2 linked regions of the Stegostoma tigrinum genome follow. The protein of the gene in region 1 interacts with the protein of each later gene in a biochemical or structural test. Links are inferred from orthologs where the notes say so. Each region holds a gene or a part of one and is shown in the gene's direction. Other genes may lie near its edges.

What was found.
Region 2: the proteins of growth arrest and DNA damage-inducible protein GADD45 alpha-like (region 1) and elongation factor 1-alpha 1 form a complex in vitro, tested with the Homo sapiens proteins (2 studies listed by BioGRID). The link is inferred for Stegostoma tigrinum from reciprocal best matches to the Homo sapiens genes GADD45A and EEF1A1.

The regions. Positions count from the first base shown.
Region 1 is NC_081361.1:51,754,956-51,765,485, forward strand, and holds growth arrest and DNA damage-inducible protein GADD45 alpha-like, read left to right. Parts: upstream 1-5,636; 5' UTR 5,637-5,768; coding exon 5,769-5,809; intron 5,810-6,110; coding exon 6,111-6,212; intron 6,213-6,304; coding exon 6,305-6,518; intron 6,519-6,606; exon of another isoform or gene 6,607-6,891; intron 6,892-6,950; coding exon 6,951-7,061; 3' UTR 7,062-7,718; downstream 7,719-10,530. UniProt on the Homo sapiens protein: In T-cells, functions as a regulator of p38 MAPKs by inhibiting p88 phosphorylation and activity.
Region 2 is NC_081357.1:98,947,298-98,958,099, forward strand, and holds the start of elongation factor 1-alpha 1, read left to right. Parts: upstream 1-6,093; 5' UTR 6,094-6,298; intron 6,299-7,162; 5' UTR 7,163-7,200; coding exon 7,201-7,344; intron 7,345-9,432; exon of another isoform or gene 9,433-9,505; coding exon of another isoform or gene 9,506-9,532; intron 9,533-10,802. UniProt on the Homo sapiens protein: Translation elongation factor that catalyzes the GTP-dependent binding of aminoacyl-tRNA (aa-tRNA) to the A-site of ribosomes during the elongation phase of protein synthesis.

The DNA.
Region 1 (10,530 bases):
TAGCTCCCATATCTCACAGTCTTAGTAAATAGCAGAATCATGCAAAGAAGCTAATAGAAATGAAAAATGAATTCATAGAGGCAAGGATCAGTAAAAAAGATTATCAACTAACATAATAAGGAATCCAAGGTTGCCTGGCATATTAATGTGAAAAGGTTATCAAAGGAGTAGTGAAATTGATCGGAGAGCAAAGTAGTGATCTATTGTGGAAGCAGAAGGCAAGATTAGGAGATTAAATGGCACTTGGTACTAATGTTCACTAACGAGGAGGAGTTAGCTAAAGTTATTGTAAATGAAGAGGTTGCTGGGGTATCAGATGAGATAACCTAAATAAAAGGGAGAAATTAGGAAGGCTTATTTAAAATAGACAAGTTACCTGATCGGGATGAAATCAGTAAGAGTAGAAATTGCAAAGTCTCTGGCCACAAGCCTCTTTTGATAGAGTTGAGTCAAAAGACATAAGGATTGAAACTGTTAAAACCTTGTTTATACAAAGGGAAGCGGGTAATCCTGACAGTTACAATTCAGTATACTGTCAGAGGCAAATAAATTTTGAGAAACAATAATCCAGTAGATATTTATCAGCCACTTGGGCAAACAAGGAGAAATTTAAACAAAAAAAACGTAATTTTTAAAGGCCAGTTGTGTTTGATTCACTTGATTAAGCTATGTGATTCAGTAACTGAGAGGATTGTTGAAAGCAGTGCAATTGTTGTCATGCGACTCAACTTTCAAGAGGGAAAATATCACATACCAGGCTAGTTAACAAAATTGAAGCTAGTGGATTAAAAGGGGAAATATCAGTATAGATACAAAATTGGCCCTAACAGGGCTGTCTAACCTGATTAATATTTTGTTTAAGAGAGTAGACCCAAAATAGAAGAGCTCCTGTAGCACAGTGGTAATGCCCCAACCTCTGGGCCTGAAGGTCTATATTCAGTCCCTACCAGTTTCAAATGTGTGTCACAGATGAGCAAGTTGATTGAATGTTATCGAGATATGGAATAGGAAACAGAAGGTAATCATAGAATCACAGAATCTCTAGCGTGTGGTAGCAAGCCATTCAGCCCATCAAAGTCACACCACCCTCTAAAGAACATCTCATCCAAACTCTGCCCACCACCCTATCCCTGTAAGATAACACAGCAGGAAAGCAGCATCTCAGGAGCACAAAAGCTGACATTTCCGGCCTAGGCCCTTCATCAGAAAAGGGGGATGGGGTGAGGGTTCTGGAATAAGTAGGGAACAAGGGGGAGCAGACTGAAGATAGATAGAGGAGAGGATAGGTGCAGAGGAGAGTACGGGTGGGGAGGTAGGGAGGGGACAGGTCAGTCCGGGGAGGACGGACAGGTCAACGGGGCGAGATGAGGTTAGTAGGTAGGAAATGGAGGTGTGGCTTGAGATGGGAGGAGGTTATAGGTGAGAGGAAGAACAGGTTAGGCAGGCGGAGATGAGCTGGGCTGGTTTTAGGATGCAGTGGGGGGAGGGGAGATTTTTGAAGCTGGTGAAATCCACATTGATACCATTGGGCTGCAGGGTTCCCTAGTGGAAAATGAGTTGCTGTTTCTGCAACCTACAGGTGGCATCATTATGGCACTGCAGGAGGCCCAGGATGGACATGTCGTCTAAGGAATGGGAAGGGGAGCTGAAATGGTTCGCGACTGGGAGGTGCAGTTGTTTTCTGCGAACCGAGCGTAGGTGTTCTGCAAAGCGGTCCCCAAGCCTCCGCTTGGTTTCCCCAATGTAGAGGAAGCCACACCGGGTACAGTGGAGACAATGTACCACATTGGCAGATGTGCAGGTGAACCTCTGCTTGATATGGAAAGTCATCTTGGGGCCTGGGATGGGATTGAGGGAGGTGGTGTGGGTGCAGGTGTAGCACTTCCTGTGGTTGCAGGGGAAAATGCCAGGTGTGGTGGGATTGGAGGGGAGTGTGGAGCGGACAAGGGAGTTGCGGAGAGAGTGGTCTCTCCAGAGGGCAGCCAAGGGTGGGGTGGGAAAAATGCCTTTGGTGGTGGGGTCGGATTGTAGATGGCGGAAGTGTCAGAGGATGATGCGTTGTATGCGGAAGTTGGTGAGGTGGTATGTGAGGACTAGGGGGATTCTCTTTGGGTGGTTATTACGAGGGCAGGGTGTGAGAGACGAGGTGCGGGATATGCAGGAGACACGGTCGAGGGCGTTCTCGAGCACTGCAGGGGTAAGTAGAGGCCTTTGAAGAACGAGGACATCTGGGATGAGCGGGAGTGAAATGCCTCATCCTGGGAGCAGATGCGGCGAAGGCGAAGGAATGGGGAACAGGGGATGGAATTTTTGCAGGGAAGTGGGTGGGAGGAGGTGTATTCCAGGTAGCTATGGGAGTCAGTGGGCTTGAAATGGACATCAATTTGTAGGTGGTTGCCATCCCTGTAACCCTGCATTTCCCATGGCTAATCCACCCAGTCTGAAAATCCATGGACACGATCAGCAAATTAGCATGGCCAATCCACCTAAAATAAATGGCGGTATTTTAGATTGAAATGAGGTATACAGTACTTTTCCAAAGATTCTGTATTTAAGGTCACTATTTTGTTAATATTTATTAGTGACTTTGATTTAAAGTTATAGCATGTAACTTTGAAATTTGAAAATGTCACAAAACTTAGAAGAATTATAAATGTTAAGATAATAGTAGAATTCAATGGGATAGACTTGTGACAGATACAATTCAATGCAGAAAGCAATGAGATGATACATTATGGTCGAAAAAATGAGAAGAGAGATGCTAAATAGCACAATTAAATGGATATGTTAGCAGAGAGAGACCCGGAAACTAATTCGATTGGCTGGAAGGTCTGTAATCAAAGGGTACAGACTTAGGATGATTGACAAAAATTCGGAGGCAACATGAGGAAACATTTCTTTGCACAATTGATTTGGATTTGAATTACATTGATGTTAGAGTGATGGATACAGAGTCAATAGTGGACTGACAAAGGAGCAGCATACTGAAAATTTGTAATTGAAAATAAGCCTGTTGGGCCATAACTTGTTGTCGTGAAACTTCTGACTTTGTCCACCCCAGTCCACATGGGCACCTGCCCATCGTGTCTCAATTTACATTGCTAAAACAGATCATTTGTTCATTAATTGCACTGCTATTAATGAGACATTCATGAGTGCAGTTTGGCTGCTGCAATACCCGACATTGCGCCTAGGTTGCGCTCCAAAATGCTTTGGCACATTCTGATTTGATGGAAAAGATGAAACCTGAATGCATGCTCCTTTGTAAAATGAACTGATTAGGCTTGTACTTATTACTTTACGTGGAGTAGAATTGATAATGAAATTTTAATATATTGCAATAATTGAATATGCATTATTTGTAACTGATATTTGTATTACAGCTCTACACCTGTACTGAGATGATTATGCAGACTTGAAATATATATGCTCACATTCTTGTCAACAGTTACATATGTTCTTAAAATATGCTCTTGAAACAGCAGTGATACAGGCAGGAACATGTTTAATTTCCACATTACTGACCCTGGTGGTCAGTCTGCTTGATGATAATGACACTGAGTGTTCCAATCAGGGCACAACGAGTGAAGAGAGATAATGGGAACTGCAGATGCTGGAGAATCCAAGATAATAAAGTGTGAAGCTGGATGAACACAGCAGGCCAAGCAGCATCTCAGGAGCACAAAAGCTGACGTTTCGGGCCGAGACCCTTCATCAGAGAGGGGGATGGGGTGAGGGTTCTGGAATAAATAGGGAGAGAGGGGGAGGTGGATCGAAGATTGAGAAAAGAAGATAGGTGGAGAGGAGAGTATAGGTGGGTAGGTAGGGAGGGGATAAGTCAGTCCAGGGAAGACGGACAGGTCAAGGAGGTGGGATGAGGTTAATTGGTAGGAAACAGAGGTGCGGCTTGGGGTGGGAGGAAGGGATGGGTGAGAGGAAGAACAGGTTAGGGAGGCAGAGACAGGCTGGACTGGTTTTGGGATGCAGTAGGGGGAGGGGATGAGCTGCGCTGGTTGTGTGATGCAGTGAGGGGAGGGGACGAGCTGGGCTGGTTTTGGGATGCAGTGGGGCAGGGGGAGATTTTGAAGCTGATGAAGTCCACATTGATACCATTGGGCTGCAAGGTTCCCAAGCGGAATATGAGTTGCTGTTCCTGCAACCTTCGGGTGGCATCATTGTGGCACTGCAGGAGGCCCATGATGGACATGTCATCTAAAGAATGAGAGGGGGAGTTGAAATGGTTAGCGACTGGGAGGTGCAGTTGTTTACTGTGAACCGAGCGGAGGTCCCCAAGCCTCCGCTTGGTTTCCCCAATGTAGAGGAAGCCACACCGGGTACAATGGATACAGTATACCACATTGGCAGATGTGCAGGTGAACCTCTGCTTAATATGGAAAGTCATCTTAGGGCCTGGGATAGGGGTGAGGGAGGAGGTGTGGGGGCAAGTGTAGCATTTCCTGCGGTTGCAGGGGAAGGTGCTGGGTGTGGTGGGGTTGGAGGGCAGTGTGGAGCTAACAAGGGAGTCACGGAGAGAGTGGTCTCTCCAGAAAGCAGACAAGGGTGGGGATGGAAAAATGTCTTGGGTGGTGGTGTCAGATTGTAGATGGCGGAGGTGTCGGAGGATGATGCGTCGTATACGGAGGTTGGTGGGGTGGTGTGTGAGAACGAGGGGGATCCTCTTTGGGCGGTTGTGGCAGGGGCGGGGTGTGAGGGATGTGTTGCGGGAAATGCGGGAGACGTGGTCAAGGGCGTTCTCGACCACTGTGGGGGGAAAGTTGCGGCTCTTGAAGAACTTGGACGTCTGGGATGTGCGGGAGTGGAATGCCTCATCGTGAGAGCAGATGCGGCGGAGGCGGAGGAATTGGGAATAGGGGATGGAATTTTTGCAGGAGGGTGGGTGGGAGGAGGTGTATCCTAGGTAGCTGTGGGAGTCAGTGGGCTTGAAATGGACATCAGTTACAAGCTGATTGCCTGAGATGGAGACGACGAGTGAAGCTTGTGTTTACTTGGTGTCTTTCACAACCTTAGAATGTCCCAAGTGTTTTACAGTCAACTGACTACATTTAAAGCGTAGGAAATTCCAAGATATTGAACCAGCAATGATGAAGGAATGACTATCAACGCGCAATTACAGATGACGTGATTTGGAACTGAATGTGGAAGTGTTGGCGTTCCCTTAACATTGTTGCCCTTGTCCTTGGTGATAGACGTTGCAGTGGAGGTTTGTTTACTGTATCTACACATAGTGGACTTTTTTTTAAATATCACGTTTGACGTTAAACAAAGAATTAAGGCTTTTGCTTCTATGAATAATTTCGTCGGGCAATCCTACAATTTCCAAACATGGATACCGAAATGAGGAATGAGCATTGATTGATGTGTCGACCGCCCCAGTGAGCTGCGAGACAGACACGCTTCGGTATCCGCTCCAACCCTCCCCCCCACCACAAAACCCACCTCCCCCAGGGCTGACCCTTTGTCCCCAGCGGGTCAGGGTGAAAGCAAAGTCCTTATTAGCATAAAGGACAACGACCAATGGCGGAGCGCCCATGCAAATAAGCGAGCACTGGGTTGGTTGGCTTTCCCTTGTTACATCCGGCCCCCTGGCTGTAACTCCGCCTTCAACGCCGCGAGCCTTCTCAGTGCCGGAGCTGACAGCAGCCGCTGCATTGAGCTGGATCGAGCCCACTAGCGCACGCAAGGCACTGTCAATTGCAGGCAGAGAAAGCTGTAGCAACCTGAGAAACTCATTCACACCGACAAACAGAATGACTTTTGAAGAACTTACAGGCGATCAGAAAGCAGACAGGTAAAAGCAATGCTATAAAGCGCACCGATTGCACTTTAAATAAACCCTATCTTTTTTTTAAAAAGTGAAACAGTGTTTGATTGAGCGTGCGGTGCAGATTCTTGGTTTGCGTTGTGCGTCGGTTAAAAGAAGTTTAATCTTCCTGTCATAGTAGAATTTTTTGTGAGATGAAGCACATACATTTGCATTCATTTGACACAACCATAACGCAGAATTGTTAATCTCTGGAGTTAGATCCTGTTGTTGTTATTGATGAAGGAATTAATACTGTTTTTTTTAAAACTTCTGATGCGGGTGGTAGGATGGACGTAGTGAGAAAAGCTTTGGAAGAAGTTTTGAGCTCCGCGCTGGCGCAAGGCTGCATCACAGTTGGAGTGTACGAAGCAGCAAAACTCCTCAACGCGTAAGTATCCACCAAGAACCAAAGTTTTCACATTTTTACTTTTTAAAAAATCAGTTTAAAAACGGACGGATTTTATTTATACTTTTCGACAGGGACCCTGACAACGTTGTTTTATGCTTGCTTGCGACGGATGAAGGGGATGATCTGGATGTGGCTTTACAAATTCATTTTACTCTGATCCAAGCTTTTTGCTGCGAAAACGATATTAACATAATGAGAGTGAACAACATGCACCGTCTAGCAGAGATCTTGGGCGGGATTGATGGGGCAGGCGAACCCAAAGATCTCCATTGCATATTGATCACTGTAAGTATTATACTAGTCACACCAGGAACGAATCCAATAACCGAGGCGTAAAACCGTCATCAGTTTTAAACAATGACAGAAATCTTACCTTTGTGAGGATTTAAATAAAGTTATTTGTAGACAGTATGAAACGAGTTACAGACGGTGACTGAAATCAGTCTAGGTTATTGCAAGTTGACAATTGGACCCCTAGAAGCAGACGAAACTGTATATACCGATACTCAACTGATTGTTGTGATTGGATGTAAATGTGGTCGTGGTTGACGTAATGTCTTTTTGCACCAATAGATGGCATAAGTTAGAGAATAGCTAACATCATGATTTGAGATTACAAGTACAGTATTTTGGAAAGAAGGGGGCGGTGAGAATTAAATGATGCACTTTTTAAAATATTTTGTTCCATAAGGATGATTTTATTTGTCTTCAATTCAGAGTCAAGTTGCACCATGGAAAGACGCAGCGTTGAGCAAAGTCAGCTGTTTCTGCAAAGAAAGTCGTTACTTGGACCAGTGGGTTCCAATCATCAACCTGCCCGAGCGGTGATCAATTTTAAATCACAGACCCTGGATTTAAGATTCGCTTTTGTTTCTCAGGAATTGCTCAGGAGATATTCTCAGTAGCTGTCCGAAAACTTGGCGCTGGAAAATTAGAGTTTTTATTTGTTGCTGAGAGCAGGCTAGACTGGACTTTCGATTGTCTGTAATTATTTTCTCTGAACGCTGGACTATGACTCAACTTGAGTTGTGCCTGGAAATAGTGACAATGACTAAGCAGACGGGAACCGAAGCAAGGGTTGGAACTGATTTCATAGCTGAGAGTAATAGAACTGCCGGAAGAATTGCGGGAATTACAGCTTCCATTTCGGGAACTAGAACTTTAAAAAAAAACTTGTGTTTTGACAGACTCATCGAATGGATAACAGAAGTGTTTGAATTTTGTTGTGAAAATGCAGTATTGCTGACTAATTACACGATGTCACGGAGCTGAGGGGAAGTTTAAAAAACCAAAACCGAATAAGTTAAGGATTTTTACTGTACTTACTTACAAAATTGTACTTTATTACAAAAACCTTTTTTGCTGTTTTGTCTAAATATGAAATGACAAGTTATTTCACAATTTATATAAATTGACGATTATTTATATTTGTGAAAGAATTGACTATAATTTCTAAATCCATTAATAAATATTATTACTTTTATTCACTAGCTATTTAATGTTCTAGTCTGTTATAGATAATTTTAATTTGTATATTACTGAATTGTTTTAATTGGAAACAGTTTGCAATACAATACAATGGAATTGCCAATGGACTGATTTCAGCCTGTTTAATTGGGGTATATTGTCAGTATTTTAAGTCACATTTTATTCCTTCTGTCAGTTTGTACAGATGAGCAGTGTTAAAATTGCACCAGTGCTCTTGACAGGTGAGTTCAGAACTCAGCCGAACTTGTGATCAAAACAAAATGCAGTAACATATCAGTGCAGTAGTTTATTATTTAGTGACTATTTTGGCAATTTGATATCCTACTACACATATACAACACACAACATCCAACAGCTATACATCCTGAATATTTCCTACTATTGTCAAGATTGCAAATAATTGTAACAGCAATTGCATGTTCAACTTAGTCTATGAGAGTTAACTGACTGTGCTCAATTGTAGCAACTCCTCTTCCAGTTTTACAAAGAACCACTGGAATAGAGATGGAAAAAAAAAATCAGCCTGTGTCTTCATTTTGATCATTGAGTAACCACCACTGGAATTGCTTGTGTCTAGGTCAGTTGAGGATAAAAATATGCTTAGTGTTCAAATGGCATTTTTGGAGAGGAAAGTACAATTCACATTTCAGATTAATTATCTTTCATCAGAACCCTGACAAAAGATCACCAATCTGAACAAATGTATCTATGGCTTTCCATTGAAACTGCATGGCCAGAATGTTTCTAGGATTTTCCAATGCAGAATTTTCCAACTATTATTCCCTTCTTCATGCCCACTTAAATAACTGTACCACGGTTCTCAGAGACAGGCTGGACACCGCAACAAGGGATTCAAATTTATGCATGCTTAGCACTATTCAAAAGGTGGCTTGCACAGTCAAAAGCCAGTCAGCACCTCTTCAAGGGGGAAGCAGAGCAGACAGTATACTCAAGGGCGTTTAACCTAACACTAAAGAATTTGGCAAATAAGGTGCATAGGAGGAGATGGCAGTGCAACCAGATAGCCAGTGCTGTCAATATTGTCAAACAATGCATCCCAAAGATCTAGATGAGATGTAGGAAAAGGTTTAATGATCTCATGAGTGCTCAAGGTCAATGAATGTTTCATCACATGCCATATCCTTAGAATAGAATGATGAGATTCAGATATTGCTCAACTCTAATACATCAATCACCGAGCAGCAATTTGTTTCTCAACTAGAACTCATACCTTCCTTTACAGCTTCAACTCAGTCTCACACACTTAACATTCTGTAATCTTCACATCCAGTTCTCAGCTCTTGACACTGTCCATAATTCAACTATGAAATCACATGCACTGATAGATATCTAATTAACCTGTTTAGGGACGTTACACACAACTCTCTTGCAGGTCAAGGTGGCTCACAATTGTGAAAACAGCACCATCTGCATGTCCTTAGCCCAGTTTAAATAGTGGGAATCCAAGAGAACCACTTTGCACCAAAATCATTGCTGAAAGGTTCAGAATCAACAAATGCAACCAGCATAGTGATAAATCTCTAAGTTTGTAGAAATTTTAAAGAAATTAGCAGAAACTTGCAGATTCAGAGACAACTTAAATGATGCTCAGAGACAGACTAGTGTGTGGTTAAGATGTGAAGAAATCTAGAAGACATCACTGACGGAAAGGAACCTATACTTGAAAGGTCAAGCAGCGTCACAGGAGCAGGAGTTATCATCCAGCTCTACACCTTGTTACCTCAGATTCTCCAGCATCTGCAGTTCCTACTATCTCTATACTTGAAAGCACTGGAAATAGCAGTCTCAATTAAACTTACAGCCAAAGAAGTTTAATGCTAATCTCGAGGATGAGACCTCGCAAAATGGCAACCGAGAGGATTCACAGAATGTAGCTGAGAGATAAATACCAGAACTGTGACTGGTGAGGAAAACAGGTCACAGCAACAAATTACAGATATAAATGTATGCAGAAACGGCAGCAATAAAAGGGCACATTAATCAGATGTGCTTGATGAAGGAACATGAACACATAGAAAAAGTACAGAAACTGAAGAGTGGAAAGAATCTACAAAAAGGCTACTTAGAAAAGCCGAGACTGTCAGTTTGAATGTTATTACGTGTACTGGCCATTGCCAACAACAAACTGACTCTGAGTCACTCCCTTATTGAATGGTAAACCTGTAGGAATTGAGGTGGATACTGGAACAGCAGTTTCATTGATACCTGAATGTGTGTCTCAGAAGTACATTGCATTGTAACCCTCAAAAATTGTACTATGAATGTACACAGGTGTAGTGATGCCTTCAAGAGATTGTATCAATGTGAATGTTCAGGTAAACGATTAGTCTGAAGATACACATTGTCAAAGGAAACCTTCCAGCTTTATCGGGAAGAATGTAGTTGAAGAAAGTCAAATTTACTGGGCTGAAATAAATCGCTTGTCAGACTCTGAGAATGATTAGAAATTCTAAAGAAAAGATGCTTTTAATCGGGATCTAGGAAGCAAAGATCTTGTCAAATTGGAAATCAAAGATCAGAATGTGGCGAGGCCAGATCACTGCCATATGTAATTAAAGCAAAGATCAAGGCAGAAATAGCAAGGCTGATTAAGATGGGAGTCCTTGAACATGTAAAATGAGAATAACTGGATCACAGCTATTGTATTAGAGACGAAGAAGGATAAATCAGTTCGCATCTGTGGTGATTTTAAACTCACTATTAATTTGGTGCTGTGTAATGAGCGGTATCCTTTGCCTTTCATTGATGACCTATTTGCTGGACTAGATGAGGTCAGCTTTTCAGTAAA
Region 2 (10,802 bases), on another chromosome or scaffold:
AACAATTTTCTAGGTACGCTTTGGTCATCAGTCTCAATTTTTCACCACACAAGGGAAAGTTTTACTCACTGGTCCTTGGCAATATAAGAGTAGGAGTAGGAAGAGATCACTTGCCTCCTCAAGTCTGCTCTGCCATCTAAATAAATCATGGTTAATTTCCTCAATACCACTATCCCCAGATCCCTTGATATCTTTTATATACATAGAAATATATTATATAAATTTATGACTGCTATTCCAAATATATTAAATGAATTGCCTCCATAGCTTTCACAGGTGGGCACGGGGGAGGAGGTGGGGGAAGAATTCCAGAGATTTGCTTCTCTTTGAGTAAAATAAAAACTCCTCATCTCAGTCTTGAACAGCCTACTCCTTATTCAAGATTCCTCATTCAGGGGAAATAGTTTTCCTACATCTGACCTTTTGAGCCATATAAAAATTTTAAATGAATGAGATCACCTCATTATTATAAATGCTAGAGATTACAGGCAATCTTAATCTCTCCTTTCAGGTGAATCCCACCATCTGAAATTGGTCTGGTCAACCTTTGTTGCATTCTATGGCAAAAGTAATCTTCCTAGTTAAGGACCCCATACTGTACTCACTGTGCCGTGCAGTATCACCCAAGACACTACTCAATTGCAGCAGGACATTTTTACTCTTGTGCTCAAGTCCTCTTGCAATAAAAATCAACAGATAATTTGCATTCCTAATTTCTTACTGCACCTGCAAATTGAGTTTTAGTGGCTTCTGAACAAGGATGCCCAAGTGTCTCTGGACATTCACACTTACCAATTTCACACTATTTAAAAATTAATCTCCATTACTGTTTATCATTTCAAAGTGGATAACTTTGGGCAAGAACATGGGAGAAGGAAAGATATAATCAATTAGTGTCTACATTCCATTGAAGCCTCTTTGCATCCCATGCAGTGTTCACATTCTCATCTAGTTGTACATCACTAGCAAACTTGGAGATATTACAATTGATCCCCACAACCAAAGAATTGCTGCAATCTGTGAATAACTGAGGTCAAAGCAATGATCCTTGCAGTACCCACTAGTCACAGTGCACTGACCTGAGAACGACGAATACTTTCTTCCTCTTTGATTCTCTGTGAAGCAGTTTTCAATCCTTGCCAGCATATTAGCCCTGATCCCAATTCCCATGATTTTGGTCACTAAGCTCTTGAGAGATCCATTCAAATATATGAATTAGAAGCAAAAGTAAGCTACAGCGCCTTAAGCATAGTCTGCCATTTGGTAATGGGATCACTAATGTGATTACTCTACATTCCCTCATAATCTTTCACCCTTTTGTTTTTCAAGAATCTGTCTATCTCTGCCTTAAAATAATTCAAGGACTCTGTGTTTCCACTACCTTTTGATGAACAAAGTTCCAAAGTCTCTCAGTTCTTTGTAAAAACAAAAATTCTCCCCATCTCCATCTTAAATGGGTGATCCCTTGTTTTGTAACAGTGACTCTTGTTCTAAATTCTCCCACAAGAGGAAATTAAACGACCGTATTATTTAAATGAAAAAAACTGCAGAAAGCTGAAACACCGAAGGATGTGGGGTAATTACTTGTGCATGTGACACAGAAAGCTAGCAGATAGATAATCGGGAAGGCTCATGGAATGTTGTCTTTTTATTTCAAGGGATTGCAGTAGAAGAGTAGAGTTATAGAGTCACATAAGTCTTGCTGCAACAGTACAAGATGCTGATGATACCACATCTGGAGTGTTGTGAACAGGTCTTGTTTCCTTTTTTAAGCAAAGACATCATTTCATTGGAGGCATTTCAGAGAAGGTTCACTTGGATTAGCTCCAATATGGAGGGATTGTCTTCTGAGCAAAGGCTAAACAGGTGGGGACTCTATTCACTGAATTTTAGAAGAATGAGGGATTGTCTCATTGAAACATGAAGGATTCCGTAAAGGTTTAACTGGGTAAGAATTGAGAGGATGTTTCCCTTCATGGGAGGGTTTAGGACCAAAGGGCATAGTCTTGGAATAAAGGGTTATCAATTTACGACCGAGGATGAAGAGGAAGTTCTTTTCTCAGCTTGTGATTCTCTGGAATTCTTTACCAAAGTTCTGTTTTCATGCCATCATGATTGCCTTTATTTCAGTTTAAAATACCGGACTTGAAGTTATACTTTATCTTCTCAAGCTGAAAGCAAAATTCAATCGTACAATGGTTGTTGCTCACTAAGGATGCCATCATTAATAGGTCATTCATTTATCCTATCTCATTGTACAATACCAGATCTAGAATAGCCTGACATCTGGTTGGCTCCTCAGTGTACTATCTTCAGAAATTAGCTGAGAAAAAGTCCATAAACTTCTCATCTAAATTGCTTTTGCCTATCCAATATTTCCAGTCCATTTGCAGATTAAAATACCTGACATTATTGCTGTACTTTTACATTCTCATTATTTCTCCTGTACATACTTCATCCTGTTTTGTGGTTACTATTAGGGGACCTGTACGTCATTCCCATCATCTTATCCATGCCGATCAAGTTTCCCAAACTAAACTAGTCCCACTTGCCTGCATTCGGTCCATATCCCTCTAAACCTTTCCTATTCACGTGCCTGTCCAACTACTTCTTAAATATTGTAACTGTACCTGCATTCACCACTTCCTCTGGTAATTTGTTCCACATAAAAACCATCCTCTGTGAAAAAGTTGCCCCTCTGGTCCCTTTTAAGTCTTTGTCCTCTCACCTTAAAAATATGCCCACTAGTTTTGAACTCCCTCACAGTCAGAAGGGTCTGTTTCCATGTTGTATGTTCTCGATGACTTGACTTCATCATTTAACATTTCCTACTTCTACAATTACTTCTCCATGTGCTATTCTAAAAACTCAGGACATGCCTCTTTGTTGTGCTAATACCATCATCAATTAACACAGCTACACCTCCCCCTTTTCCTTGCTTTCTATCCTTAAATGTCTTGTGATCTTCAATATTCAGGTCCTAACCTACCTCAGTCCACAGTCATCTCTCTCTGTAATGGCTATTGTATTTCACTTACTTAATTATACTTGTGCTCGGTTTTCTTTTGCTATGTGCATTCAGATACTGAGCCTTTAGTTATTATTTTTCTAATCTTTCGAACAAACAGTGGATTTACTCATGGATTAGTATTCTCTGTTCCTTTCCATCATGGTCTGTTTATCATTTTCCATATTAACACCATTGTGTCTTCCTTCCCATGCTTTTTGGGAAGATGCAGTAAATCAAATTTGATCCTTTGTCCTCATCATTTAATTTAAAACCCTGTTCCTGGTTATTTGGCTTAACACAGAACTGGACCTTGTTGAATGCTTTATGAAAATCCAAATACACCACATCTACTAGTTCCCCTTTGTCTATTCTGCTAGTTCCATTCACATTGACAAACATAACTTTCCTTATATAAATCCCTTTTGCCATTGCCTAAACTTACCATTATTTTCAAATATGCAGTTAGCACATCCTTTATAATTCATGATTGTATTTCCTGATGACAGATATCAGAATAACAAAGCTACAGTTCCCTGTTATCTTCGTTCTTAAATAGTGGAGGTATATTTCCTACTTTCTAATCTGTACAGATTGTTTCACAGTCTTAAAAAACTTGAGATACGGTCATTTAAGGGTCATTACTTTTATAACACTCTTTTCAACATTGAGATGTAGATCATCAGGTTCAGATGCTACATTTTTAGTAATGCTAATTTATTTTGGTTTCCCATTTTCACTAATTCAGGTTCTGTCATTTCCAGGTGACTGTTTATATTTTCCTCCGTGAATACAAGATACAAACTATTTGTAAATTTTCTGTCATTTCCTTATTCTTTATTATAAACTGTACTGACTCTGCCCTGTAATGGGCCCACATTTGTCTTTATTAGTCTTTTCCTCTTTGGATACATGTACAGAAGGTTTTATGATTTTTTTTTTTGCTCTTTTACCTTTGTATTGTATTTTCCCTTCATCAGTTTCTTGGCCTTGCTTTGCTGAGTTCTAAGATATTCCCAATCCTTACGCTTTCTATTTTTTTGGCAACTTTATAAGTCTCTCTTTGAGATCTCCTAGAACTTTTTCGCGTTAGCCATGGTTGAATCATTTTTGTGGTTAGGTTTTTATGCCTCAAAGGAACGTATATTTGCTGTAAATAATTTATTAATTCTTTAAAGGCTAGCCAGTCCTTGTCTTTGGTTATAACCTTGACTGTCTGTCTTTAATTTGTCTGTCATTGCTAGAGGGATGGAGTTTAAAAACAGGGAGGCTATGCTGCAGCTGTATAGGGTCCTGGTGAGGCCACACCTGGAGTACTGTGCAGTTTTGGTCTCCTTACTTGAGAAGAGATATACTAGCACTGGAGGGGGTGCAGAGGAGATTCACTTGGTTGATTCCAGAGTTGAGAGGGTTGGATTATGAGGAGAGACTGAGTAGGCTGGGAATATATGCATTGGACTTCAGAAGAACGAGGGGAGATCTTATAGAAACATACAAGACTGTGAAGGGAATAGATAAGTAGAGGCAGGGAGATTGTTTCCACTAGCAGGTAAAACTAGGACTAAGGATCATTGCCTCAAAATGAAGGGAAGCAGACGTATGACTGAGGTTAGGAGGCACTTCTTCACCCAAAGGCTTGTGGATTTGTGGAATCCCCTGCCCAGTGAAGTGGTTCAAGCTACCTCACTGAATGTTTTTAAGGCAAGGCTAAATAAATTTTTGAACAGTAAAGGAATTGAGGGTTATGGTAAGCGGGCGGGTAATTGGAGCTGAGTTTTGAAAAGATCAGCCATGATCTTATTGAATGGCGGGGCAGGCTCAAGGGACCAGATGGCATAGTCCTGCTCCTAGTTCTTATGTAATGTACTTTCTCAGTTTACCATAGCTAACTTGTCCCTCATTCAGAAATGCACGTTGATTCGGTCACCAGTAGAGTACAATGACCTATATAGTTCTATCATAACCAGTCTGTTCTTATGGTTGAACCTCAAACTTGCCAAAAGTTCTGGTAATTCATCCCTGAATGCTCCTTTACAAGATTATTAATCAGTCTTTTCTCATTGCACAAAAATGGATCTAAAGTAATCTAATCTTTACTTGGTTCCTTGAGAAGACTATTTTCAGGAATTCCTTCTCATAGCAATGGTGCCAATCAGTTTTCTCAAGTCTATATGTAGACTGAAGTTCTCTGTGATTACGCTATCATTGTTACATGCATCTCCAGTTTTATTAGCACTACTGTTTGGTGGCCTCTAAACAACTTGCACCAGGTTTCGCTGCCCGTCCCTGTTTCTTAGCTCCATCTGAACGGATTCTAGATATTGATCTTCCAATCTAAGATCTTCTCTCACCAATATCTCCTGAACAGATGAAAGGGATTGAGCTGGCACTATGGGCTATTTGGTGAAGATGTGGGGGAGTAGCACAGTTGGTGTTTGGTTGCTGGTGTTTCAAAACGGTTACTGTCACCCACAAACACGTGTGGTTCACTTTTAAACTTGGTGTATAAGTTAACTCTTGAAATATCCCTTCAAAATTTGGAGCGGGGGGGTGTACATATGCACTAATACACATGGCACTTCACCCCTTTACCCCCCACCTCAACCTGCCACACTGCTCTCAGTTGATGCAAATTTGGTACATTTGTTAGTGTGGCAAAGCTCACAGTGAGAGGCCAATGGCGACAAACTCTCACATCTCATCAAACAGAACAGGTTATGTTTTACGTGAGATAACATAAGATGCCAGCAGACTGGGGGAAACAACCCTTTTAAGCGATTGGCAAAAGGTGAGTTTTTCTTTGGGGCTGCGGTGGAGGATTACCTGAGGGAAAAGTTTTCAGAGCCGCTGGAAGGTTAGCGGGGGGCGTCGGGTCATTGGGTGGGACAGGGAGGGTGGCTCCCCGTTGAGGCAGCACAGACACATCGGGCTGAATGGCCTCCTGCGCTGTGTGGGGGCGATGATGTTCTCTCGGTCTGACCCAAACCCCGCCGTCGAATCGTTCAGGCAGCGGGCGAGCTCGAGCTCCAGTCACGAGGGGGCGGAGTCGGCGCACGAGGGATGGGCACGGATTGTGTGTGTTGACCGCGGGGGGTCGCAATTGAAGTCAATCGGCGGACCCCCTTCTTCCCAACGCCCACCCGCTGGCGCCTATTAATAGCCGTGACGCAGCCGCTTTCCGCCTGTTTGCCGAGCGTGTGTGGAGCCGGTAGGGTGTAGGGTGGCCTTTTGGCTCGACGCATTGACCTATTGCGGGCGGGCGGTAACCACCTCCACTCCTCCATCGAGAAGGTGAAGCGGTGAAAGAAACGGGATGGGTGGTGGGTGGGAGTGCTGCTGTTGGAGGAGATGGTGTGACCGGGTTGGAGGGATTCGAAGCTGTGGGCCAGCTTCGTTAGCCGCGTCCCCTTTAGAAGGCGGCGGCGGCTACTAAACGGGTTTCGGTTCGAATTGGCTAATTTCGGGGTGAATCGAGAGACAGAGAGAGAGAGGGAGGGAGAGGGGGGGACCCCTAACGACCCCAAATATTCTAATCTTCTATTACCGGAGCAGTCTTTTCTCATCCCCCCCCCCCACCTGGCGTTCGCTTTTCTGTGGCATCGTTAGTATAAAATTGGAGGGGGGGGGGGTGCAGCCGACAAGTGGGCGGCGGCGGGGCTTTTTATTTTTTTTGAAGGTTTTTTTTCTTATACCGTTTTACCGCAAACGTTGGTGATCGTTCGGCGAAGGTTACGGGTGGAGCTTGTCCCTGACCCTGTCCGGAGGAACCGTGTGTTGGGGGTGGGGGCGGTTCGGTGCCCGTTGGTGAGAAAATGGCCGGTGTGTCCGTGCGGTTATTGTCAGTCAAAATGGAGGAGAGCAACATCAACTGGAATGGGGGCGTTGGAGAGGGAAAGGCAGCAGGTATCTTTATCACTGTAACAATTCGGAGAAATGACGGAGATGCGCTTAAAAAAAAGGAGGGAAAGCGGCTGAAGATCGAGAGAGGCGCTCTTTCTCCCCCTCCCCCCCCTTACAGGAGGAGATGGCCACTGTCTTTAGAGTAAATCCACCGACTCCTGTAATTTGGAGATTTGGTATGGGGAGAAGGCGTCAGTATTGCGTTTTTTTTTTGGCTTCCTAACTTTTTTCTCCCAATTTAACTCCCATCCCTAGTTCCTTAAGGCTGAGGCAACAACCCACTGGCAAAAGCAATGGGTAAGGAAAAGATCCACATCAACATTGTTGTCATTGGCCATGTGGATTCTGGCAAGTCCACCACCACTGGCCATTTGATCTACAAATGTGGTGGCATTGACAAGAGAACCATTGAGAAGTTTGAGAAGGAAGCTGCTGAGGTGAGAAAGCAAGAGGGTCAACTTTATAATGAAATGAGAGGCTGGATGAACACAGCAGGCCCAGCAGCATCTCAGGAGCACAAAAGCTGACGTTTCGGGCCTAGACCCTTCTTCAGAGAGGGGGATGGGGTGAGGGTTCTGGAATAAATAGGGAGAGAGGGGGAGGTGGACTGAAGATGGAGAGAAAATAAGATAGGTAGGGAGGGGATAGGTCAGTCCAGGGAAGACGGACAGGTCAAGGAGGTGGGATGAGGTTGGTAGGTAGGAGATGGAGGTGCGGCTTGGGGTGGGAGGAAGTGATGGGTGAGAGGAAGAACAGGTTAGGGAGGCAGATACAGGTTGGACTGGTTTTGGGATGCAATGGGTGGAGGGGAAGAGCTGGGCTGGTTGTGTAGTGCAGTGGGGGGAGGGGACGAACGGCTGGTTTTGGGATGCGGTGGGGGAAGGGGAGATTTTGAAGCTGATGAAGTCCACATTGATACCATTGGGCTGCAGGGTTCCCAAGAGGAATATGATTTGCTGTTCCTGCAACCTTTGGGTGGCATCATTGTGGCACTGCAGGAGGCCCGTGATGGACATGTCATCTAAAGAATGGGAGGGGGAGTGGAAATGGTTTGCGACTGGGAGGTGCAGTTGTTTATTGCAAACCGAGCAGAGGTGTTCTGCAAAGTGGTCCCCAAGCCTCCGCTTGGTTTCCCCAATGTAGAGGAAGCCACACCGGGTACAGTGGATGCAGTATACCACATTGGCAGATGTGCAGGTGAACCTCTGCCTAGAATACACCTCCTCCCACCCACCCTCCTGCAAAAATTCCATCCCCTATTCCCAATTCCTCCGCCGCATCTGCTCCCACGATGAGGCATTCCACTCCCGCACATCCCAGATGTCCAAGTTCTTCAAGGACTGCAACTTCCCCCCCACAGTGGTCGAGAACGCCCTTGACCGCATTTCCTGCAACACATGCCTCACACCCCGCCCCCGCCACAACCGCCCAAAGAGGATCTCCCTCGTTCTCACACACCACCCCACCAACCTCCGGATACAATGCATCATCCTCCGACACTTCCGCCATCTACAATCCGACCCCACCACCCAAGACATTTTTCCATCCCCACCCCTGTCTGCTTTCCGGAGAGACCACTCTCTCCGTGACTCCCTTGTTCGCTCCACGCTGCCCTCCAACCCCACCACACGCGGCACCTTCCCCTGCAACCGCAGGAAATGCAACACTTGCCCCCACACCACCTCTCTCACCCCTATCCCAGGCCCCAAGATGACTTTCCACATTAAGCAGAGGTTCACCTGCACATCTGCCAATGTGGTATACTGCATCCACTGTACCCGGTGTGGCATCCTCTACATTGGGGAAACCAAGTGGAGGTTTGGGGACCACTTTGCTGAACACCTGAATCATATTCCTCTTGGGAACCCTGCAGCCCAATGGTATCAATGTGGACTTCATCAGCTTCAAAATCTCCCCTTCCCTCACCGCATCCCAAAACCAGCCCAGTTCGTCCCTTCCCCCCACTGCACCACACAACCAGCCCAGCTCTTCCCCTCCACCCACTGCATCCCAAAACCAGTCCAACCTGTCTTTGCCTCCCTAACCTGTTCTTCCTCTCACCCATCTCTTCCTCCCACCCCAAGCCGCACCTCCATCTCCTACCTACCAACCTCATCCCACCTCCTTGACCTGTCCGTCTTCCCTGGACTGACCTATCCCCTCCCTACTATCTTCTTTTCTCTCCATCTTCGGTCCACCTCCCCCTCTCTCCCTATTTATTCCAGAACCCTCCCCCCATCCCCCTCTCTGATGAAGGGCCTAAGCCCGAAACGTCAGCTTTTGTGCTCCTGAGATGCTGCTGGGCCTGCTGTGTTCATCCAGCCTCACATTTTATTATCTTGGATTCTCCAGCATCTGCAGTTCCCATTATCACGCGTCAACTTTATGGCTGTTGATGTATTGTTGCAAAGTTACTTTGTACGATTCTATAATTAAAGATGTGATGAGCATGACAGTATTGTAAATACCATGTAGGATACTGAACAAACTTGCATTATAATGAAACTGTCTCTTTAACCCTCCCAATTCAGTTGTATTCATCACTGCAACTAGACCCGAAGTTACTATTCTGTTTTTGTGGATCCAAGCTCTTGAAAAATGAGAATGAAACTACCAAAGTCAATGGTAGGCTAAATTCTGAAGACAATTCAAGGTGTTGCATCTGTAGAATCAGCAGGATTTGCACTTGCCTATCTCCTATTTTTTTTCTCCATTTGTTTTTGCTAAGCTTTATTATACTGAAAGCTACTAATGTACCATTTGTGGTACAAAGTTCTTCTGGCTTTTGGGTGGAAAACAAAAATCCTTTGAGTACACAAGTTCTAATCCAGTCGCCCATTAGTAGATAGTGTTTGATTTGAGTATGATCCAAATTAAATTCTCTTTGCTTGTAAAATTGAAAGTAGAATGAAATGTATGTCCCATTTTGTTCTGGCCTAGCAAGAGCTAGAGTGCTCAAAGGGTTAAATTGCTTATTGGTCTTGCATGATTGGATCATTGACTTACCAGGATCCCTACATAAGCATGTTACTGTGGTTGTCTTGTTTGCATTTTCATTTTCCAGAGAAGCATCTGAGTAGAAAACCTGGAGTAGATTATGCTTCAAGGATTTGGATTCTCAGTAGCTATGTTGGGTGGGTGGTTGACTGATGTCATCTGTGCCCTTTCAGATTACTTTCATTTTTTTTAAAAAAGAAAACTATTGCAAGCAAATATGAAAACAAAAGCTACCCTATTTGGACAGAAGAGAAACATCAAGCATTATTTTGCCTAAAAAGTTGCTTATGTGTACCTAATTGGGTTAGATTAGATTAGATTCCCTACAGTGTGGAAACAGGCCCTTTGGCCCAACAAGTCCACACTGCCCTTTGGAGCATCCCACCCAGACCCATCCCCCTATAACCCACATGCATAGAGCCTTGAGACTCGTCCCTGTCACACCTGATCTCCTCAGGTCTAATAGTTATGGTATACTGTCAGAGGAAATGCGTTGGGTGTATAGAAACTTTTAAAATAACCAATTGACAGCTGGTCAAAAAACTACCAACAGTTTGAATTATTTTTGCCAAGGCTGTAATTGCAGCGTTGTCTTATCACTTTGTTAGCCTGTGATTGATTTAGAGTTCATAGGTATACTGCTTGAAATATATTTGAAATTAAGATCTTCGTAGAATTTGTGTTTAAGTCAGGTACATAACATTAGTATAAATTGCAAACAAAAACAAGTGTTACAGTGTAGGAGACCATTCAATTTGTCTTGTCATCTTGGTTTTCTTGAGAGAAGCTTGGCTAATACCTTTTTTCCTTTATAACTGAAATCTCATTCCCAGAGCCATTTTCATAATTGTTTTTCTGTATATTCTCTCTAATCCTCCACATTTTTTGAAGTGTAATG